3 linked regions of the Oryctolagus cuniculus genome follow. The protein of the gene in region 3 interacts with the protein of the main gene of each other region in a pairwise test. Links are inferred from orthologs where the notes say so. Each region holds a gene or a part of one and is shown on either strand. Other genes may lie near its edges.

Evidence for each region.
Region 1: the proteins of RALGDS (region 3) and KRAS interact in a two-hybrid assay, tested with the Homo sapiens proteins (3 studies listed by BioGRID and IntAct). The link is inferred for Oryctolagus cuniculus from reciprocal best matches to the Homo sapiens genes RALGDS and KRAS.
Region 2: the proteins of RALGDS (region 3) and RAP1A interact in a two-hybrid assay, tested with the Homo sapiens proteins (3 studies listed by BioGRID and IntAct). The link is inferred for Oryctolagus cuniculus from reciprocal best matches to the Homo sapiens genes RALGDS and RAP1A.

Annotation. Positions count from the first base shown.
Region 1 is NC_091440.1:122,523,567-122,531,611, forward strand, and holds part of KRAS (GTPase KRas), read right to left. Parts: intron 6,571-8,045; coding exon 6,392-6,570; intron 4,999-6,391; coding exon 4,839-4,998; intron 1-4,838. UniProt on the Homo sapiens protein: Ras proteins bind GDP/GTP and possess intrinsic GTPase activity. Plays an important role in the regulation of cell proliferation.
Region 2 is NC_091438.1:58,669,303-58,677,347, forward strand, and holds part of RAP1A (ras-related protein Rap-1A), read right to left. Parts: intron 7,876-8,045; coding exon 7,819-7,875; intron 5,361-7,818; coding exon 5,220-5,360; intron 3,941-5,219; exon of another isoform or gene 3,840-3,940; coding exon of another isoform or gene 3,261-3,839; exon of another isoform or gene 2,041-3,260; coding exon 1,897-2,040; exon of another isoform or gene 1-1,896. Other genes in the region: large ribosomal subunit protein uL6-like, read left to right, coding at 3,261-3,839. UniProt on the Homo sapiens protein: Counteracts the mitogenic function of Ras, at least partly because it can interact with Ras GAPs and RAF in a competitive manner. Together with ITGB1BP1, regulates KRIT1 localization to microtubules and membranes.
Region 3 is NC_091432.1:235,230,431-235,238,575, forward strand, and holds the start of RALGDS (ral guanine nucleotide dissociation stimulator), read right to left. Parts: upstream 4,181-8,145; 5' UTR 4,154-4,180; coding exon 3,977-4,153; intron 1-3,976. UniProt on the Homo sapiens protein: Functions as a guanine nucleotide exchange factor (GEF) activating either RalA or RalB GTPases and plays an important role in intracellular transport. Interacts and acts as an effector molecule for R-Ras, H-Ras, K-Ras, and Rap.

The sequences.
Region 1 (8,045 bases), on a different chromosome or scaffold from region 3:
AGGATTAGCCTAGTGAGCCACGGCGCCGGCTGAGATGTTTTCTTTAATGGAGATCTTCTAACAACTAAAATTAAGTATCTTGAAATTAACAACAAAATAGGAAATTAATCACTCAGTATCTTTAGGTTCATAAAACTAGTTGTTCCAATGTTCAAATTGAGTCCTCCAGAAAGCAAAACAGCGGAAACAGGAGTAGCAGACTAAAGTACTGCTTCTGCCATCTATGCACTGAACTCTTCCCACTTTTGATTTTTACAGACTGAAACACACACTGATCCTATTGTGTCAATGTTTCAGTTTAAACAGCCTTTGCTGATCCTGCTATACACAACTCAAAGGAACCAGAAAAATCCGTCAAACACCTCTTTCCCAGATAAATGTGAAGTAGGTATCAGCCCTTATGTACTAGGAACGTGGGGACCACATATTATGTAGTAGTAGAAAATAACTCCTTTTGCTTTTCAAATACGGACTAAACTGAATATAAAAAATATATAATGTATTATATTCTGGCCAGTCAATGGCCTTTTTATTATTACAAAGTAACTAAGCTGGCAAAAATATACTCTGAAATCCGGGCTGGTGGCAAACAAGTGCTTGGGCCCCTGTACCCATGTCAGAGACCTGGATGAAGTTTCTGGCTCCTGGCTGTTGCTGCCATTTAGGAAGGGAATCAGAAGATAGAAGACCCCCCCCCCCTTTTTTTTTTTTTTAATTACTTGACAGATAGAGTTAGACATTGAGGGAGAGACAGAGAAAGGTCTTCTTCCCTGCACTGATTCACCCCCCCCCCCCGCCCCCCGCAATGGCCACTACGGCCAGAGCTATGCCAATCTGAAGCCAGGAGCCAGGAGCTTCTTCCTGGTCTCCCATGCGGGTGCAGGCGCCCAAACACTTGGGCCATCCTCCACTGCCCTCCCGGGCCACAGCAGAGAGCTGGACTGGAAGAGGGGCAACCGGGACTAGAACCCAGTGCCCATATGGGATGCCAGCACCGCAGGTGGAGGATTAACCAAGTGAGCCACGATGCCGGCCCGATAGAAGATCTTTTGTAAGACCTAAGGTGAAAGTCAGTCAGGGCTCAGCAGCTGCCAACTCATAGGCCAAACGGGGCCGCAGTTGATTTCCGTGCTATGTACAAGCTAACAATGATTTTTCCATTTTCAAAGGAGTCTAAAAAAAAACAACTAATATACAACAAGGAACACTTGTGACTGAAAATTTTAAATATTTATTATCTAGCCCTTTACAGAACATGCTTGCCAGTCCCTGACTTGTAACTAAATTAATGTTCTTTCCCTACTAACCTGTATGCTTCTTTTTGGTGTTTGTGTTTTAGGCTCATGATCAAAAAAATCAAAAATTAGGGCACAAAACTAGCTGCTGATAAAATACAAGGATACTTATGAAGTTATTTTGTTCAAATAACAAATAAATTTATTGAACAACAACCGAGTAACAAAATATGCTGCAGAAATAACAAAATATTCTGCCAAGGCTAGAGCTTCAAAGTTTCACAAAACCTAATATATAAAACTCATTAAAATTTACATATGCAAGTTTACTATCTATAATTACTTGAAACAGCTCTTTAAAAATCTTGTAACACATGCAAATATTAAATTCATTTCAACAGAGGAAGATGCATGAACTGATTAAAGGCTACCTTATTTCAAAGCAAATCAATCAGTTCACTTAATAAAAAGAACTCAACAGAAATCAAATGTCATTATGGTTTAGCAACATAAATTTCATAAATACATCAATAAAGTAGGATATAAATCTAAGATATGCTAGACATTAGGTTAAGAAAGAGAAATATTCTTTCATATTATTTCATTCTACATTTTAATTATGGTCCACATTAATGTCTACAAAGCAAACTTCACTTAATCCACTTCTATATCATACTCCTTTAAAAAAAACAACAAAGAAATCAAGGCCTCAAAACAGCCTAAAACTAAAAATATATTTTAAAAGAAAGCCAGGGTAGGGGCCAGCACCGTGCCGTAGCAGGTAAAGCCTCCGCCTGCCATCCTGGCTGCTGAACTTCTGATCCAGCATTCTGTTGTGGCCTGGGAAAGCAGTAGAGGATGGCCCAGTGCTTGGGCCTCTGCACCCACATGGGGGACTCAAAAAAAGCTCTTGGCTCCTGGCTTCAGACCAGCCCAGCTCCAGTCACTGCAGCCATTTGCAGAGTGAACCAGTGGATGGAAGACCTCTCTCTCTCTCTCTGCCTCTAACTCTGCATTTCAAATAAACTAATAAATCGTTAAAAAAAAAAAAAAAAAAAAAAAAAAAAAAAAAAAAAGGGCAAGCAAGCCAGGGTAGTTTTCTGAGTAGTTATGAATAGCTGAATGCTTCAAACATTACAGCATTAATAACAAAACACCAAAACACCAAGAATCAGCTACCTGGTGCTTCTGCGGCAGCCATCAATCAACAGGGAAAGGAGTGAAGAGCTACACTGTGGTACTAACAAGGAAGAGTCCTTTTAGTATCATCTAACTACCTTTCTACTTAAAACTGTGGTCCATGGACCAAAACCAGCATCACCTGGGGTTTGCTGGACATGCAGACTCACAGGATCCAACCTAAGCCCATTGATTTAGAATTGAGATCTTAATAAGCCCTTTGATCTGCACGCACTGTAATGTACTAGCACTTCTCTACTGTTTACCTTTTTTATGTGAAATGCTAACAAAAATGTTCAAAAGACTAAAAAGAAATTTTTAAAATCTATGAATAATACAACTACAATAAAATATTAATAACAGTATAGATGGCTTGCTAATGTTTTCAATAAAAATTCTTTTCAATTTTTTAAATCCGAAATTTTTTCATAAAAAAAATATCGGAGGGCTGACGTCACGGTGCAGTTGGTTAGGCTGCTAACTTGTGACACCACCATCCCATATGAGCATCAGTTCAAGTCCCAGCTGCTCCACTTCCCATCCAGTTCCCTGTGAATGCAGCTGGAAAAGCAGCTAAAGATGGCCCAACTGCTTGGGCCCCTGCCAACCCATGTGGGAGACCCAGATGGGGTTCCAGGCTTCTAGCTTTGGTCTGCCTGTAGCTCAGCCTCAGCCAGTGTAGCCACTTGGGGAGCAAACCAGCAGGCAGAAGATCTCTCTCCCCTGCCCTGCCTGTTCTCTCTCTAATGCTCCCTTTCAAATAAATAAACTAAAAACAAAACCAAAAAAAGGACTGGAAGAAAAAGCTATAAATATTATAATCATGTTTTCTGAGTACCTTCTTTGCTGAAGAAAATTGAGACTAGTAAGAAAGACTAGAGAAAGACCAAAAACAAAACAAAACAAAACAAAACAAAACAAAACAAAAAAAAAAACAAACCACCCTAAAATTTGGAACTTGGGAAGGAATTTGAATGAAATCCTAATTACTCTGAAGTGAAATATACCAAGTCTTTACTTAAATAATTTATCTGCCATAGAAGAAATATGTATATGATGGAAAAACTGCAAAAATTCAGTTTTTAATTCCAAAACAAACACCCAAATAGTGTACCAAACCAGGAGGAGCTACTTATGATCTCACTGGAGAAGTAACTCATAAATAACAGCTGAATAATTTACACTTATGTTTTTATCCCTTTACAAAATTCAACAAACATCTAGAATGCCTGCTTTTCTGAGTTTAACTATGTAATGAGTTGTTTATCAATTTTTTAAATTCCTAGCAACACAAGAGTTAAATTCTACAAAACCATCTTTGTGGGCTCACAGGTACGCATAACCAGAAAAAACTCCAAAAAAAATGTATGGAGCATATATTGTACAAGTTCTTACAGTCTATGCATGAAAATTGTATTCTATCACATCTTTGTGTTCCTTTCCAGAATTTTCCTTTTAAATGTTAAACTCTTATTTCATACAAACAGGGTAGATAGTATTAGCTAAAATTATTTTATTTTACCTAGAGAAAAAGTTTTTTTAAAATGAAGATGACTGGAACCAGCATTGTGGCATAACGGTTTAAAAGCCGCTGCCTACAACACTAGCATCCCATTTAGACACCGATTTGAGTCCCAGCTGCTCCACTTCTGATCCAGCTCCCTTGCTAATGTGTCTGGGGAAGCAGTGGGAAGATGGCTCAAGTCCCTGAGCTTCTACACCCACATGGGAGACCAGGATGAAGTCCTAGTTTCAGCCTGGCCTAGCACTGGCCATTGCAGCCATTTGGTTAGTAAACAAGTGGATGGCAGATCTCTCTCTCTAACTCTGCCTTGCAAATAAATAAAATATTTTTTTTAAATGATGATTTCTTTAACAAAATTTAGGTTCTAACTGGGATTAATTTTTGCCAGAACAATGCACTAAATGAATAATGGAATTTCTATTCACTTTCAAAATACTCTTTAATGAGAAAAAAAATGCCAAAGTAAAATTTCTTCAAATATAACAAAATTCAATCTAGAAACACATGACATGATACTCTTAAAAGCACAAACTCAAAATCTGTTCCCCTGTTCTTTGTCTTTATGTAACGTGAAATCGCACATTTCTTGAATGTAAGATGTGCTCAGAGCAAGGGAAATTTCACTGTGGAAAGAAATCAAAGCGGAAAGTACTACCATAACACTGCATTAAGAAGCACTGTCTGCTCAAGAGAAGGTACCGTTCTATATGCTATTTTAACACACTGAGAGAAAAACTGAAAATCACATCAATGACAGAATAGTAATGTTATCACATATGAACACATTAATTTCCTTCTCCTACCATTAAAATGATGCTAAAATATCTATTAGTAAAGTATGATTCATGATTGAAATATTTTGCAGAAAATGGATTTGTATTGATTCCAGCTTTACTTACCTGTCTTGTCTTTGCAGATGTTTCAATAAAAGGAATTCCATAACTTCTTGCTAAGTCCTGAGCTTGTTTTGTGTCTACTGTTCTAGAAGGCAAATCACATTTATTTCCTACTAGGACCATAGGTACATCTTCAGAGTCTTTAACTCTTTTAATTTGTTCTCTGGGGAAGAAATAAAGTTATAGCAGAGCATTAGTAAGGCAAAAATATTTCCAAAATTGTCCACAACTTCTGTCTTACACATTTTGGATAAAAGAAGACTTTTAAGGAAATTCCTAGCTTCAACCATACCAATCTCCCTTGCTTCTCCTTCTGGTTATTGTTTCCCTCCACCTTATACAGAGACCTTATATATTACTTAAAGATTAACTGCCTAGAAATTAATATGCAGGTAGATCGCAAAGATAAAATACTGAAAACTTCTAGACTTAAAGTGTTATGCCTAATTTCAATAGCAATAATCTTAGAAACATGTATGTGGTTCAAAGTTTAAGTATAGAACTGAAAATATTTTTACAAAAACATGAATTATAGCATTAACATAATTTTCACATTACTTTCTCAATAAGGAAAAGTGAAAAAGCAGAAAGATTTTAGTTTTTATGTGGACAACACTGCTTACTCTGTTAAATCTTTCTTATGTAGCTAATTTTCAATATGCAATATGCATAAACTCTACATTTGGGGTAAAATTATATTCCTTCACAATTTCAGGTGATTTTTCAAGAAGTGGCATGGAAGAAGGAGCACAGGAGATAACACAGCAGGGTTGACTGAAATTCCTACTTCCCCTGCCTATGGATTAGCTGAGTAAAGCCAGGTCAGTTAACAAATTTCACTTGTTTACTACTCTATAAAATAAATACCACTACCACCCATCGCCTAAACTTTTTTCTTTAATACTAGACTATAGGGTAAACATGCTACCAGAAATGATCTTAAAAGGTTAAACCTCTAAAGTGGCTAACTTACAGCTACATGATATAGCTAGTAAGTGGAGTATTTGTTTTAATAGCTTTAAAAAAATGGTAAATCTTCAGAAACAGAATATTTAATACAGTAATAATTTTAAAGTAGTTTATGCAAAGTTCTTAAAATTTTTTAAAAACCTATTATTGCTCTAATGCTTTTTATTTTTACATAAGTATAATTTTAAATACATAAGGCCATCGTTTATCCAATCCAAGAAGTTCTACACTGAATATACATTATTCTGAAGACCACCTCAAATTGCTTTTTCATATTTTCATGTATCTAAGACTTTTAAAGTCCAGTTTCTCTACTGTAGGGAGGTGAGGAGGACAGAATATTTTAAAGCCAGACACGTATAGGTTAGGTTTCAGTCCCAGCACCAACACTATCTATGGAACCCAGAACAAGTTACTCAACTGTTTTAATGCGCAAGAACTTCATTTTATGTAAAATAGGAATTTGATGCTCAAAAATATTTTAAAATTTGTATTATATAATATATACACTGTGGTAAGAAATACTCAATACATGAAAGCTATAATTACTCCTGAATGCTAATTTATTACATTCAATTTAAACCCACCTATAATGGTGAATATCTTCAAATGATTTAGTATTATTTATGGCAAACACACAAAGAAAGCCCTCCCCAGTTCTCATGTACTGGTCCCTCATTGCACTGTACTCCTCTTGACCTGCTGTGTCGAGAATATCCAAGAGACAGGTTTCTCCATCAATTACTACTTGTTTCCTGTAGGAATCCTGAGAAGGGAGAAACACAGTCTGGATTATTATGGTGCAGCTTTTACTTGTGAAAAGGTGTTATAACAACCAAAAAGACAAAAAGACAAAAAGACAAAAAAAAAAACCGCATCCCAATTCAAAAAACGGGCTAAGGGCTTGAGAAGGGCTCTTCTCTGAAGAAGAGAGAGAAATGCGCAGCCGCTCAACACTATCAATTATCAGGAAAATTTTTAAAAACTTGTAAGAAAACAAAGACAAATTCAGAGGTTTGGACAACGATATGGAGAAACCGGAATGCTTTTGTTATTGGTGGGAATCCAAAATGCTGTTTTCCTGGGCAAAAGTATGGCAGTTCCTCAAAAAACTAAACAGTGAATTACTATACAATCTACCAACTCCATTCCTGTGTGTATAATCAAAAGTGAAACACGACTCAAAGAGATACATGTACACCGCTGTTCACAGCATCATATACAGCAACCCCAGAAACAACTCGTGTCTATTAACAGATAAAGGAATACACGAATGATAATATGCACATACAATCGAATATATTCAGTCATAAAAAATTAAACTTTGCTAAGTGCTACAACTAGACAGGCCTTGAAAACATGTTAAGTAAAATAAGCCAGACACAAAAGTACAATCACATGATTCCCCTTATGTGGGGTACCTAGAAGCTGTCACAGAGACAGAAATAGGAGAGAGGTTACGGAGGATGAGGGAGCGAGGACTAGGAGTCAATATTTAACAGCTAGAGGTTCAGTTTGGGATGATGAAAAAAGTTCTGAAAATAGTATTAGTGGTTACACAGCTCTGTGATGGTTGTACACACTGTGAATGCATTTCATGCCACTGAACTACACAGGAAAAATGGCTACAATGTTAAATTCTGTTATCTGTATTTTATCACAGAGGTTTTTAAAAAAGATTAGCCTCTTTCCCAAGAGATTCAACAATTCAAGTGCATACATTAGTAACAAAAAATTATCTATAAAAATAATTACTACAAAAATGGGACAGTTTTATAAAATCTAATACTCAAAGATGATTCAGATGACACACACACACAAAAATCAATTCACAAGTAATTGTCACATACCTTCTTTACCTGAGAAGATTAGTAACATTCAATATTTCTACTTCTGAAAAATATGGGCACAATATCTAATATGATAGCTACTGTAATTCTAAAGGCACAACTCTTGCAGCTGCAAATTTTGAAAGGCCTCTATTAAAAGAGGAAGACATCCGAGTAAAGAAAGGAGGTAACCTCAATGGAATCTTAAAATGAAAACTTAAATTTTCCCCTAAGGACACTGACGTTCACACTGCCGAAATGGGCCCCCCAAAGAGGGAAAGGAGGTAGTACAATGTGAAGCCCCTGATTAGGCCTCAGGGTTGATAACGGACATAAAGTTATAAACACAGACACACTATTTCTTTTTATTCCACTTGTAGGCTATGGTACTTGTAAATGCCTTTAGTTCATG
Region 2 (8,045 bases), on a different chromosome or scaffold from region 3:
CTCTTAATTATCAAAGGAATCCAATAGCTGGATTATCAGGCTATAAAGAGAAAAACATTTAAAAAATCAAATTATTATACTCAAGAATTTCTATCTTGAAGCTGGTGTGTTTTCTAAAACAGTAAAGATTCTTAAGATGGTTAATATATTTCATTTTATTATTTTCCATCTATTTTCATAAAAACTCGTCATGTCAAAGGTCAACTTTAACAAGACTGCTATGAAAAAACAGCTGTGCTGTATTGGCAATTGCAATTCAGAGGAGGGTTAGTGGCATGCAGGCTTCTACAAACACGGGACACTACAAGGTGAGGAAAAGTTCCTCTCCGTGGTGTTCTGCCTACCAAGGGAGAGGTCCCAGGTGCAGAGCCTGCATCAACCTAGTAAGGAACCGATTCCTGCAGCCAATCATCCTGTAGCGTGTCCTCACACGACTGCTCCAAAACCCAAGCACGTTCTACCAATCTCAATGCATTCTTTAATAAAGTTAAAATTTAAAAAAAAATATTAAAAATTAAAACTTTATTATTAACCACATCTTTCAAAATAAGCTGTAGCAAACTGTAATCCTACAAAAGAGAAAATGGAGGTGGAAGCATATTCCGTATTTCCTTTCATCTGCTTGGCAGTGGCAGGTCTCGTTCTCCCTATTAGGATGTAAACCTCCTGGGGGCAGGGGCGTATCTGTCCGGATGAATATCACCTGTTACCTGGGTGTCTAATACAGTACCATATGCATAGTATGTACTCAGTAAGTATTTCCTGAAGAAGTTAAATCTGTTAATTTCTTATTTTTATGTAGTTTTTAAAAATGGTTTTGTAAAACATATGATTTGTATCTAGCATGTTTAAGTGTTTTCTATCAGGCACCTAAGGTAACCTGGCCATTTTAAAAGTCAGGTAATAGTCTACAATTATCAATGAAGGAAAAGGGATCTACAAAATCACAGATCAGAGAGGACAGCAAGAAAATCACAGAACTCTGATAACCAAATCTGCTCTTCTCTCACCTGTGCCCTAAATAATATGAACTCTGGCCCATTCTAATGATGCCACAAATGACAAGCACACAGGCAACAGAAAAGGAAAGAAAAAACCCAGTCTGTTTTGTTTTTAAACAAGGTGCACAGTAAAGTTAACAAAAGGAAAAGGACCCTTGATTGATGGGGGCAGTTAAGAACTGCACTAAATTTTAGGACCCCAGAAAACAGGCCGTTTACACCCAGACGTGCAGCTTACTTGCTAAGCATTTCTGTCTATAGCTACGCTGTCAAGATAGTGGAGTGTTTAACTCAGGGACGGATGGATACACACAGACACACGGACACACACAGAGTTTATGCAGCTGCTCTATCAGCTCTAATGGTCTGAGTGGATTCCAGTTACATGTCCACACTCTCACAAATTCCTTTTCTTTGCATCACGCACCAAAGGCACGGCAAGATTCAGAACACCAAATCTTGTGATTCCAAAGGTAGCAACATCATTTTGTGCAACAAAAACTTCTTATAATAAACTACTTTGCTTGCTGTGTTTCTTTACTTGACTTTAGAACCCATTTACATGCATCTAGACAGATAATTACTACAATACAGGGTGATATGACAGTTCTGAAACACCACCTTCTGGCAAATCATTTAGAGGCTTATCAGGATTTTATACAAATTCTTTAACTTTCTTGACAAAAAAATTGAAGTGTCCTCATTATAGCCATCAAAATGATCCTATGCAAGTTTAAGAATAAGGTTTCTAGAAATAATTAGTGTTTTGTACAAAGTGACAGAAACACAATTGCTTAGAAGAACAAAACGTTTTCTTAAAAAATTTTTAGGTGTTAATTAAAGCCAAGGAAAATAAAAAGGCACTTATTTGTGCTGCCCAGCAGCTGTAGGTTACCTCATTAACATTGATCTTTGACTTTGCAGAAGATTCTAAAAAGGCACAGTTACACCATTGTCTTGCTAAATTCTGGCCCTGTTCCTTGCCAACTACTCGCTCATCTTCCAGGTCACATTTATTGCCAACCAAAATCATTGGAACCTATGGGAAAGAAGAAACATAAAATGAGCAATGAAATACTTATTACTTGCTCTCTTCTTACAAATAACCAATTATCTGCCACTAACTGAAATTTATTAGGATTATTAGGTTTGCCAAGTACCCTCATAAAAAGGTGTTGTGTGTGTATGTATGCATATATATATATTGTATTGTAGTAATTATATATATGTATGTTGGGGGGAAAGGGTAAATATCAAAAAACATGGAAGAGATCCTATCGCAGTCATATGCTAAATTATTTTAGGAATATAATCCCCAAATTCTCATGCTGACTATTTGTGATAGATGAATACCAAGTAGAAAACTCTGAAAAGGAAAGAAACTTCTTGCAATACAGAGAATGTGTTCATTGGACCTGACTTAAGTGCTTCATCTCACAGACAAAACAAACGCTCAAGCAATGCCAAGACCAACATAGAAACAGGTCCTATATCTATCTACATTTAACATCTATTCTAGACGTAGATTTGAAGACCTGTCTATAATTGAGGAGTTAAAAAAGATGAACAATAAAAATAAAGCCAGAAAGCAGTTATGTATTCCTTTTTTACTCCGTATCACAGATGCTCAGCTACATGTAGTTATGACTTCCTATTTCCAGTAAAATAGGCAGCCAAAACAAAGTTTATTAACTTTCTTAGTAAAAGGGTGTCAAGAAAACAAAGTCATTTGTTTGTAAGGTGATGAACACTATACAAAGGAAAGAATTTAGGAGAGACCTGGTGGAATGGGCAATTGTCACAAATTAGACTAAACCCATCAGACATCTTCAAATCCATCTTTTTTAGTTTATCATACAGGATAGAGGGATTAACATAACTAGGGCTCAGTGACTTGCAAATAATTGCCTATGAAAACAACTTTCTTAGTCATGGAAAGGAAGAAAAGTACTCATTAGGTCACAGTTGGTTATGAGTCAATGGTGTAAAGCCCTTCCACCAACAATATTACTAAGTCAAGGTCATGAGCATATGTATATGCTCTCATTAATAATTGGAGAGAAGACACAAAAACAGCTGAAACTGTATATCCTAATTTGTACAACCGAAAAGAAAATTCTTTGCTGTTCAAAACTGAGGTAAACATGAATTATATATTTCATCTTGGCAAAAATGTTATTTTTAATTTAGACAAAATTTCCAAAGCAAAATTAAATTTTAAAAAATCCAGCTGCTCTCTTTGCCGCATCTACTGCGAGAATGAAGACCATTCTCAGCAATCAGACGGTCGACATCCCAGAAAATGTCGACATCAGTCTGAAGGGGCGCACAGTCATTGTGAAGGGGCCCAGAGGAACCCTGCGGAAGGACTTCAACCACATCAATGTGGAACTCAGTCTCCTGGGAAAGAAAAAGAAGAGGCTCCGGGTTGACAAATGGTGGGGAAATAGAAAGGAACTGGCAACTGTTCGCACGATCTGTAGTCACGTACAGAATATGATCAAGGGGGTTACACTGGGCTTCCGATACAAGATGAGGTCAGTGTATGCTCACTTCCCCATCAACGTGGTTATTCAAGAGAATGGGTCTCTTGTTGAAATTAGAAATTTCTTGGGTGAAAAGTACATCCGAAGGGTTCGGATGAGGCCAGGTGTTGCCTGTTCAGTGTCTCAAGCCCAGAAAGATGAATTAGTGCTTGAAGGAAATGACATTGAACTTGTTTCAAATTCAGCTGCTTTGATTCAGCAGGCAACAACAGTTAAAAATAAAGATATCAGAAAATTTTTGGATGGTATCTATGTCTCTGAAAAAGGAACAGTTCAACAGGCTGATGAATAAGACCTAAAAGTTATCCGGCTGCAGAAACAAGAATCCAGATTGTGTCTTGTGGTATTTTAATAATGCAATAAAAGATTATTGATTTGGAAAAAAAAAAAAAATCCAGCTAATTAAATGCTTTCACATAATTACAAGGGGAAAAATCTGCATGTAAGCAAAAACTCTATCAATAGAATAGAAATAGAAAGAATATACCATTACGGCTCTTAATACTGTTCAGTGTTCTTTGACCACTGTTTCTTTTTTTGACAGGCAGAGTTAGACAGTGAGAGAGACAGAAAGGTCTTCCTTTTCCATTGGTTCACCCCCCAAAATGGCCACTGCGCTGATCCAAAGCCAGGAGCCAGGTGCTTCTCTTGGTCTCCCATGCAGGTGCAGGGCCCAAGCACTTGGGCCATCCTCCACTGCCTTCCCGGGCCACAGCAGAGGGCTGGACTGGAAGAGGAGCAACCGGGACAGAATCTGTCGCCCGAACTGGGACTAGAACCCGGGGTGCCAGCGCCACAGGCGGAGGATTAGCCTATTGAGCTGCGGCGCTGGCCTGACCACTGTTTCTGCCGTAACTAGCAGCTTCCAAAGCTCAAGTCCTACTTTTTTTTTTTTTTCTGCAGTGAGCAAGTTTACCATTTTATTGAAGTCACGTAAATGATTTGACAAATACACAATTGAATGACATCACTGGTTTGTTGTAATTCACAGTGAATTACTAGAATACATTAAGGTGGCTCCTTTACACGTAGGACTGCAGAGTGGAGTCTCACTTCTTACTCAAAGTACTTTTATTAAGATTTGCTTATTTATTTGAAAGGCAGAGTTAGAGAGAGAGAGAGAGAGAGAGAGAGAGAGAGAGAGAGAGATAGATAGATCCTCCATCTGCTGGTTCACTCCCCAGATAGGACTACAATGGCTGGGGTTGGGCCAGGCTGAAGTCAGGAGCCTGGAATTCTATCCAGGTCTCCCTATGTCGGTGGCAAGATCCCAAGCACTTGGGCCATCTTTTGCTGTTTTCCCAGGCACAGTAGCAGGGAACTGGATGGGAAGTGGAGCAGCCGGGACCCAAACCAGCACTCATAAGGGATGCCAGCACTGCAGGCAGAGGTTTAACCTGCTGTGCTCTGTGAAATACTCTTTTTCTTTCTTTATTGTATGTTTTACCTACATGGCATAATGAGCACTTAATCATATATCTCCTCATTTTACAAACACCTTAGCATATAATTTGCAAGTTAATTCTGGAAGCTTTATGAATTTTGTTTGCTTCAGGGACCTTTTGGCATGTGGAAGATACCTTCCAAATCCCCTACTGATAGAGTAAACAGAAAAATTTTTATTTCGCTGAAGAAAAATAGCACTATGTTTCTTAGAGAAAAAAATACTTACATCTTCTGTGTCTTTAACCCGTAAAATCTGTTCCCTCAGGTCCTGTAAGTCATTAAACGTGGACTGAGCTGTGATTGAATATACCAGTGCAAACCCTTGGCCATTCTTCATATACAAATCCCTCATTGCTGTAAATTGTTCCTATAAGAAAACATGCGTAATTATAAAAGTATAAAGCTCTTGAATATAACAGAATAATCAAAAGTAAGCTAGTTATTTTTCCCTTTTAAATCACATGCTATTATGACAGAAACACAAAATGGAATACATAGTTTCTAGTAATTGAGGTCAATGTTCCTGTTCCCTACCAAGGTGAACAGAAACAGTGATAACAAAACTATAGGATTAAAAGGAATTTCCATCTTAATCTGCTTTCTGTGACTTAGAAGAACTGTAGCTAATTCTTTTTTTATATATACATATCTTAATTTTGCTTGGAAGCTCATGACATAACCACGGCCCAAGTGAAAACAATCGGAAGCATAAACTCAGTCCTCAACTGTGACTTAATCATCCAGCACAGGCAATCTCGAACACTTATTGGCAAACCGATTCTTCTGGTAAGAATGTGTTCATGTATTCTCAGTTTTAAAACTTCGAGAAAGTGAGAACACTGCAAGGACTATCCATGTCCTTCAGTCAGATTCACTACTGTTAACATTTAGTCCCGGAGCTACAGTCACATCAAATTAGAGTGCTGTTTTAAGTCTATTTCTTCTTATTTGGCAATTATCACTACTATATAATTATAAATATTAGTATAAAACAGAATTGCATAAACTGGATACTTTATACAAAGCATTAAGAAAGCAAATATGGTAACATATTTAAAACATATACAAGTATATTTTGGGTATTTGTAACTCTATGTTTTATACCGTCACATCTTTGGGAGTCCTGCATATAAAAGAAGGCCTTACTCCACAATGTTTCTGAAGGGTTTCCTGCCTTGGCTTTCTGGCTTCCCATCATCATTACCTCTATTTTGTATACAACATCTGAAATAGTTAGTTGTTCTACCCTGGCTGATGCAGTCACTGTGGATTTCAGGAAGTCTGCTACACTACCACTCGTTATCCTGAGTCTTAGGTGTGCCAAAGGACTATGCTAAGTATTCTACGCTATTGGCAGTGCATTTTCTGAGAAAGGTATTAAAACTGGGGGTTTCCTGGAATTTTCATTTATAAACTATGTTCCAGGATAGCATCATTACAGTAACTAAATAAATTGTGCCATCATCTAAATACTTAAATACGTAATAAACGACAAAATATATAAAACACAAATAGAATTGTTACAAATACTAGCATCAATATTCCTATGTACTCTTGATAGAATATTTTCTGTTATTTATTTTTAAAAGAATAAATACATATAGGCAACTTAGTTCTGAAAATCCAATTTTAAAAAAGGCCTTACGGTACCAACATGGTTGGTGTTACCCCCTACTGAGAATGCCCACCTCTTCCTTAAGGACATTTTTTTTTTATTAAATATTTATTTGTTTATTTGAAAGGCAGCGATACAAAGAAAGAAGGAGGGAGACACAGAGGTATTTTCCATCCACTGGTTCATTCCCCAAATGGCTGTAAGGGCTGGGGCTAGGCCAGGCTGAAGTCAAGAGCCAGGAGCTTTTTCTGGGTCCCCTAAGTGGGTATGGGGGCCCAGACACTTGGGCCATCCTCTGATCCTTTCCCAGGTACATTAGCAGGGAGCGGGATGGGAAGTGGAGCAGCAGGGACTTGAACCAGCACCCATTTGTTAGGATGCCGGCACTGCAGGCAGAGGCTTAACCTTCTCTGCCATAGTGCCGGCCTCACCCTAAGGACATTCTATGAGATTCATCCATTAAATAAATATCCAGAGGCCCCTGTATGTGCCAGACACTGCTGTAGCACTAGAGAAAGGATGGTGAACGAGAGAGGTAAAAATCTCTGAATAGCAACAAAAACAAAGTATAAAAATATGCAGGATGGTTGTACAAATACTACACGGAAAAATAAAGCATGGGAGGAGGAGACGAGTCTCTTTGGCAAGAGGGAACATCAGGTCATAGTTTAGAAGACCATGATCAGAGAAGGCCTCACAGGTAATAGCTGAGGAGGATCTGAAGGAGGCGAAGGAGAGAGCTCTGTGGCGTGCAGAGAAGAGCCTCCCAGGCACAGGGAACAGCAAGCGAAAATGCCTGAGGGGAAACAGGCAGAGCATCTGAGAAGCTGCAGGGACACAGGCCTCTCTGAGAAACCAGGGGACTACAGGTGGTGGGGGCTGAGGGAGGGAGACAGAGACGACTGACATTCACAGAAGTGCCTATCTTAACTAACACTCTAGATGTAAAATAACTATATTCTAAAGCATTGATGATCACACTCTCTACTCCAATAGGAAGAGAAGAAACCAACACAGATTCTACAGGTGAACTCAATATGTGGCACTGAATACATCACAGCGAATTTCATACACACAGAATTTAAGATGACCTACATTCACAAAATTTGTTCATAATCAGAATTATTATTTTTACTGGGAATTATTCAGCAATTCTGAAAAAACCTGTTCACAAATTAACAGCTATCAAAGAAAGACAGAACATCCTTACCGTCCCTGCTGTGTCCAGGATTTCGAGCATACACTGTTGGCAGTCTACTTCAACTTGCTGTGAGTAGAAAAAAAGACAACATGAAAATGGAACATCAGAAACTCATTCTTTTTGCTCCCACCTCTTCATTCAAAATATCTGACAATGACAAAGCCTTTCTTGAGCACTCTGCTGTACAGGCTGGGATGAACATGGTACTATAATAAACAGGGGGCTCAACAACATTC
Region 3 (8,145 bases):
TCACGCCACCTCACCTGCGTGGCAGGGGTCTCTCCTTGTACAGGGGACGTGAATGAGTCAGCCTAGGGAAGCCCCCGACCTCCAGAAGGGGCGTGACCCGGACACAGGCAGCAACCAGGCTGCGCCTCCCCTGGGGTCTCACCACCAGTCCTCCCTCCTCATCCTCCCCGTGGGCTGCGGGCAGACCCTTACCAGGGGCGAGGCCAGCCCCAAAGAGAGGGACCAGGCCTGCATGTGCCCCCTGTGGCTGCTGTTCGCCAAGTGCGTGCACCGGAAAACAAAGCCACATCCAGCCTGGGCCGTGCTCGGAACGAGCCTCGGGGAATCGCAGACTCCAGACTGTGGGACCCCCACAGACAGCCCAAGGGGAAAGATGGAGGCGATCTGTGGGGCATCCGGCCCGAGACCCCCGTGGGATGCCGAACCCTGCACACAAGCACCGTGGGCAGTCCATCGGATAACCAAGACGCGGGAGGAGGAGATGAGCCCTGTCCTGGGGTACAGGGCTGGACAGCGCGTGACGTCATCGGGCTGCTCGGGCAGGTGCACAATTTAAAACCCAAGAATTGCTTATTTCTGGAATTTTCCGCACCGTGTTTTTGGACCAGGGTGACCGAGAAAGTGGAGGGGGAGCCACGAGAGGACCCCTGTGTGTGCAGGGTACTGGGTGGGCGAGGACGTTAGCGCTGTCTGAGGCCCAGCACTGGCATTCTGGGTACTGTTAGAGTTGCCCACGGGGCTATCAGTGGGTGGGACGTCCTTGGGATTCCTGCACACAGGGGAAAGGCGGGTCCTGGGGCAGAGAGCGGCTCTGTGCCGATGACGGCCGTGAAGCTGGGGGCCCTTACTGCCGTTTTTCCTCCTTTTGTGTCTGTCTGCAATTATCCACAGGAGAAATGTCCATCAAAGAAGAGGGCGTGGCTTTTGAGACTCAGTGCCCCTCCCTCAGTCTCCAGCAGCCGTCAAGGGAGGGCCCAGGTTGGCCGCTTCCCGCGTTCCTCGCTCCATGAGAAGGGGTCACGCGTGGCATCCCTACCACGAGGGGCTGGGGACCCCCAGCCGCAGGGGCAGTTGGAGGCCGCGGGCTGCTGTGACCTTGGGGAGTCTGAAGATCAAGGCCGAGGGGAACCCTGGTGCTAGGAGGGGCAGAGGAGGCCGGCGCCGCGGCTCACTAGGCTAATCCTCTGCCTTGCAGCGCCGGCACACCGGGTTCTAGTCCCGGTCGGGGCGCCGGATTCTGTCCCGGTTGCCCCTCTTCCAGGCCAGCTCTCTGCTGTGGCCCGGGAGTGCAGTGGAGGATGGCCCAAGTGCTTGTGCCCTGCACCCCATGGGAGACCAGGAGAAGCACCTGGCTCCTTCCTTCGGATCAGCGCGGTGCGCCGGTCGCAGCGCGCCGGCCGCGGCGGCCATTGGAGGGTGAACCAACGGCAAAGGAAGACCTTTCTCTCTGTCTCTCTCTCACTGTCCACTCAGCCTGTCAAAAAAAAAAAAAAAAAAAAAAAGGAGGGGAGGGGCAGAGGAGCCCTGCTCCCCCTCCTCCGGGCCCCCGACCTGCCCCGGGGAGCGCATCTCCACCCCCCACCCCTTCCTCCAGGGCCAGCACGGCCGGTCGGAGTCTGCTGGCAGATGGCCTGTGAAAGACACAACCAGAGCCCAGAACCAGGCCCGCCCGGCCCACACGCGTGTTTTCTTTGGCCGGTGAGGTGTTTTTAAATGTCTGAGCCAGCAGGGAAAGGTCAGGTGACTTTAATATGAAAATCCACGTTTCCGCTTCTGGAAATGCTGCCGCCCTGACCGCACACGGTCTGCATTCCCGCATGGGACAGCGAGAGGCCGGGCGGAAGCTGCCGGAGCGCCCTGTCGCCTGGGGTCGGGGGGGTACCTATGGGTCGCCTGGGGTCGGGGCGGGTACCTATGGGTCGATTAGTCACAGGCAACCCCCCCCCCACCTCCGGCTTGGGGAAAGGTGACCTCAGGCCAGATCCCCAAGGCCCCTTCTCTCCCTGACCCCCTGCCATCACTGGTCCCCCAGATGCACGGCAGCCGGAGTGCTCGCGCCTCCTCAGAGCCTCCTCCTGGCTCCCCAACTGTCCTCAGGCCTCAGATCAGCTGCTCGGGTGGCCCCTGTCCCACGTCCAGCCCGGCACCCACAGACCCGCCCGGAGCCTCCGGCCTTCGGCTCTCCGGGTCTGGTTCACAAGCTGGCCACGTGGCCCATCCCCCACCCGACTCTGTCAGGGGGCGCGAGACACTGTTCACAGTGCGGCTCCGCCCATGTCCAAGTCAGGACCCAGGCCTGCCGTTGGGCCGGGTCCCAGGGATGGGGTCTGGGCCCAGGCGCCGATGCAGCTCAGAGTGGGAACCGGCACAAGACAACATCTGAGCGGCCACAGCCCTCGGCCATTGCCCCCTCCAAGCTGGACCAGCAGCTGGGTGGGCAGATGTGGGTCAGGGTCAGGCCTCTCCCCGGTGGTCACTCTGTTGTGCTCTATATTCAGAGCCTGGGGAGGCCACCTTGAGGGCGTGGCCTGTCCACGCCCCTGGGCCATTTCCCGGCACAGCTGTCACCATTCCTGGCCCGCCTGAGCCCTGGGGTGGCCCCCTGTGGGCTGATGAGCACACGGCTCAGCGGGCAGTGACACACCTGGGCTGGCCGCCGGGCTCCTGCGCTGGAGAGAGGGCCTGGCACAGCCCCGCCTGCCCCGTGCCTCCCCCCGCACCACTGCTGATGCCAAGAAATCAGAGCAGGGCAGGAGGGGGACATGAGGCGTGAAGGCCTCTGGGAGGCCACAGTGAGCGGAGGGAAGTGACCTCATCCTGACCCTAAACTTCCTGTCCCAGGGCATCAGGACAAGGTGCACCAAGGCCTGCGGCCACATGGACAAGGGCTCCGGGGCCGCACACAGGGAACTGGGGCCGCTCTCACGACTGCCCGACACCCCAGGACCACCCATTCCACAAGCGCGCCAGCCTGGGGGACCCACGGGAGCTTGGAAATTGAGCCCTGAAGGCAGAGGACGGCAGAGGTGAGACTGGGAGGCCTCGGAGAGACCCAGGGAGAAACGGGCGGCCCGGCACGGCGCTGGGTGGGAGACGCCGCCTCGCCTGCGAGACGCCCGGGGTCCAGCATCGCCGCCCGCTGGCTCCTTTCTCCTGGTGGGTGGGCAGCCAGCTGCCAGCCGTGCCCCTCTGAAACCCTCGGCAAGGGTGAGGGCACCAGCCTCGCGGCACAGCGGCCGGGCTGCTGCTTGCGAGGCCTGGGACTGCGTCCCTCCTCTGTTTCAGTCCAGCTAACGCGCACCCTGGGAGGCAGCAGGCGACGGCTTGTGGCCCCTGCCACCCACAAGGGAGACCTGGAGGGAGTCCAGGCTCCTGGCTTTGGCCTGGCCCTGCCCTGGCCGTGGTTGGCATTTGGGGAATGGACCAGCAGAGGGAGGGAAGCTCTCCCTCTGTCACTCTTATCAAAATAAATACTAAAACCATAAAAGAATTAAAATTTTTAAAAATTACGGCAAACAGCCAGAGCAGAGGGTCCTGGGGTGCCCCCGGTGGCCACTGGAATTCAAGTCCCAGCCTCCACTGTCTTTCCCAGGCTCACCACCCTGCGCCTCGGCGACCCCAGCAGTCAATGGGGACAATGACAGTAAAACCAGGCTCAGAACAGAGGACGAAAGAAGGCACCCGAGGCCTCGGAAATCCGAGACACACGGCACGCACAGACGCTCACAGCCCCAACTCCCCTGCCCCAACTCACCGGGGCCGGGGTGGGCGGAGAGGCCAGCCAGAGTGGGCGCCTGTGGCAGCCCCGGCACGGCGGCCTCAGCCTCCTCACTCACGCCTGGGACGGGAGACGGAGATTCCCCAACGTTTTCCAGCCAAACTCCTTCGACGAGTTCTGACAAGGAGGGAGGCGGGACGCCCGGGAAGAAACGTGCCCAGGCTCCCCCGCGGAGGCACGGCTGCCCTGGGAACTTACCTCGGCGGCCTGCGCAGGCAGAGGGGCTGGCCAGGGGGGTGGGCCTCGGGGGGCCGCCTGGCGGGCCAGGGCGCGACGCCGGGCAGTCACCACGGAGACGCAGGCCAGGAACACGGAGCTCTTCCTCCCCCTGGGCACGGCGGGCCCCGGGCAGGCCTGGTCTGCTTCCCGGGCCATGGTGGGGCAGGAGCCCGATGGGAGAGTGGGCTCCCAAGGCCCTGGCCTGTGTGCCGTTGCCTGCCTGCTCTGATGGAGTTGAGCGCCGGAGTGCCTGGGCCTGCTGTCACCAGCGTGGCTGTCATACCTGCCCCCGTGACGGGCAGGGCCAGGAATTCCCGCCTGTGTGAGGCCATCGGCCTGCCAAACGGCTAGGTGCTCGCCCCAGCTGTCGTGGGGGGCTCTGGCTGGAGCTGTTCCTAGCTGGGAGGGGCCAGCCGTCCCCTCTGACCCCCAGGCCCCAGCCCTGTAGCCCTGGCCAGAGCTGAGCAGGTGCAGGGGCACACCCAGGGGCCTGGGCAGGGGTAGGGGTTCCACCGCCCACTCTGGCAGCCTTTCCAGCCAGGCGGACCTCAGAGTGCCCCAGCCCTGACGGCCCGGTAGAGGGTCAAGCTGGGGTCACCAACAGTTCATCTCACCGAGTAGGGTAGCAAAAATAAATAAATAAATAAATAAAATACCAGCCCCATTATCACCCTTTCATCCGCCCACGTGGGGACCCAGACGAAGCTCCTGGCTCGGTCCTGGCTGTGTGGCCATCTGCGGAGCGAACCAGCAGATGGACGCTCTCCCTACCTGTCTGTCTGTCCCCCTCTAACTCTGACCTTCAAATAAATCTGTTTTAGAAACAACACCAAGGTGCTGGCTTGTCCCCAGGTTTCCCATTCTGCTGCATGCCAGACTTAGGAAGCCGTTCAGCCAGGCCAACGTGCTCATTGGACACAGGGAATAAGGAAAAACAGGCCCGAGGTCTCACTGTGTGCAGCCTGGGACAGGGGCACCCGCACGGCAGTGCCTGGTTCACGTCCCAGCTGCTCTACTTCCTGCTAACGCCCTGGGAGGCAGCAGATGGCACAAGTGCTTGGGGCCTGTCACCCACGTCAGAGACCCGGATGGAGCTCCAGGCTCCCGGCTTTAGCCTGGCCCAGCCCTGGATGTTGTGGGCATTTGGGGAGTGAACCAACAAGTGGACAGCAAGTCTCTATCTCTAATAAAATGAAAATAAAGAAACCTTAAAAATAAATGAGTACAAAGCCACCAAGACCGTGTCCTGGAGAGCACGGGGTGCTGCCCAGGATCTCTGGGGGTGGGGGGACTCCAGGCCCCGCGCCGGGCCAGCAACTGACAAAGCCTACACCCCCCTCCGTGGTGTTCAGAGGCCCGAGCCCAAAGCCCAGCAGTCTCAGGGCGAAGTCCAGGCTGGACGGTGACCGGAGGGCGCTGGGCTGGGCACACGCATCCCCGGAGGCAGGGGCTCCGCAGCCCCCACCCCAGTAGTCCCCGCCGCCCCCTCTGACCGACAACCTCACATCCCCCTCGGGGGCTCTGTGGGGTGCAGGGGACCTGGCTGAACAGGAGACTCAGAGCCTAAAGCAGCCAGGCTCCTGTCCCCACTGGGCACTGCCTCCCCGGGCCTCCATTTCCTGACCTGTCACGGAAGGGGTGGGGGACGGAGGATCACACAGGGGTCTTCAAACTCAAATCCACTCTTGCCCTCCTAACGGCTCCCCTCGACTCCCCCAGAGCTCGCGACCTTGAACTCGTACCAGCGGCCTCCTGCAGGAGAAATTTTTCGGAGACACCCAGGAGGTGAGGAGTCTCTGGGACGGAAGGTGGGCCTGGCGGAGGCGCCTCCCCCGACCCCAATCCCGCCGGACGGGAAGCTAGGTCCCCACTGGCCCCCGGGCTCCTCCTAGCCACTGCAGCCTTGACCCTGGCCTTCCTGCTGCTGCGGCCGCCACCTCGGACTCCTGCATGAGCGTCCCCGGCCTGGGAGCACGTCACGCTCATTAACGCAGCAGCACTGCCCACTCCACGCCCGGCTCTGAGGGCCCTGTCCACTGGGGGTCAGAAGCCATCTCTGGCCTCCTGCATAGGCTGCCACTCAATCCTAACCTCTGGGAAACAGTGGCTACCAAGGAGCCACGTCCTCTGGAACCCAGTGACAGCACCTCTAAGCCTCAGTTTGCTCGCCTGTAAAATGGGCACGAGGGCACTGGCAGATCTAGCAAGGACTCAGCATGAGCCCGGCTCACAGCTACACTCAGCAGACAAGCGCTGGTGCAGCCAAGGGCTGTCCCTCCCCCACCCCCATCCCAGCTTGTCCCCACTGGTGCTTGGCAAATGAGTGGAGCCCACACAGCTGACCCCACACCAGGCATCAAGCCCCGGACGGCAGTCAGGGGTCTGCCCAGCGCTCACGGCACGGCCTTGTAACCGAATCGTGGGAGAGATGTTGCAAAAGCAAACAGAGGAAGGGGGTGCAGGGCACCGGGGGGCCCGGGTTCTGGTCCACTCCCCGCCCTGCAGACGGGGCTCCCAGCCCGGCCCCGGCTGGGTGTTGGGTTGGGAAGGGACGGAGGCCCTGTCCAGACAGGGGGGGCCCAGTGAGGCAGGCCCTGGCGTCAGCGGGGATCCGAGGAGGGAGACCGTCCTGGGGTGCCCACGCTGTCCCCAGTCTGTCACCCTGCGTGGCCAACCGCTGGGTCACGTGGTGCGGGCGCTGTGGGGACCCCCGAGGCAGAGGGGATCTCTCACGCGTGACTTGTGCTGTTACGCAGGGGCGGCCGCGGGCGGGGGTGGGGGCGGTACGCAGGGGTGGCCACGGGCGGGGCTGGCTGGGGCTCTGCTTACAGCACAGAGCAGTGCAGGGAAGCAGGTGGTCGGTGTGTGTGCGGGGCTGGCACCTCCCAGCATCACCCCGTGCTGTCCCACGTCCCCTCCTACCCAGCTTCCCAAGCACGGCTGCCCCCACTCCCGACCTCCTGCCGGGCCTAATCCGGGCTCCTACCTCGTAGTCAGGCACTGAGGGGGTGGGAAGGCTGGGGAGCCCAGAGGAGGCGGGGCCGCGGGAAGGGAGAGGCGGGAGCACCCACCCCGCCTGCGGCCCACGTGGTCCGGGCTGCCCGCCCTGCCCGCCCCGCCCCCCAGCTCTGGGGAAAGCCGGGCCTTTGTTCCCGGCCGGCCTGGAGTCGCCACACGATGCACCACATCGCTGTCACCGCCTGGAACGGGCAGAGCCAGGGCGCCGGGGGCTGGGCTCCAGGACAGCTAGGGGAGCCCCGCCTGCGCCGCCTCCCCCGCGGCCCAGAGCTGTGCACCCACTGTGTGTGACGCTCAGAGCAGCCCGGGACACCCAGGTCACACAGCCTGCCACGCGCCCCTGCTCCGCACGGCTCCCCGGGCTGCGGGTGGCTGGGCGGGGGCCTCTCACGGGCCCTGGCCCATTGTTTATAAACACTGGGGTGCTGTAGCTAGGTGCTGTGACTCAGAGCCAGAGTGGTGACTCCTCTGCTCACTGCTCTCTTAGCACAACATCCTGCCCGGGAACCCGCGGCCCGGCCCACTTCCCTGCAGCCCGCCGACCTCTGACCCAGGCCGCCCGGGAACCAAGGCCCATCATCCAGTCTCACACAGCCACGCCCTGGGGGCTTCCAGGCCCGGGACCCTTCCCCATTCAGCTCTGGCTGTGAGACTCCCAGGCCGGGCACTACAGCCCACGCCTGTCTACGCCTGAGAGGCAGAGTGGTCCTGACGTCCCCGTGTCCCCGAGAGCCTGCAGTGGCCATCTTGAGCATCCTCGGGTGGCAATGCACTTTCCCATAGCGCATCGGGCAGACCATGAGGCCAAGGTCATGACCCGGAGGCCCACAGAGTGTCAGGGCCAAGGTCAGGCGCGGCCCAGCCTGTCTGGCCCCAGGCACTCTGCTCTGCGGTGTGTTAAAGACACACAGCACAGAACCATGTGGTGTTGCTGGGTCCCTGTCGCCGGGCTGGGCGCTCTGTCCCCCATCTGAGGCTCAAGGGTCTGACTCCCACGTCCCCGGTCACCACTGCCCCCAAACCAGCGCCTAACCGGGGCGCACCATTCCCCGACGAGGAAGTGTGGACGTCACGGGGTTTGCGAGCTCAAGGACAGCCCCGGGGCCACACGGAGGAGCAGGGAGGGCTTC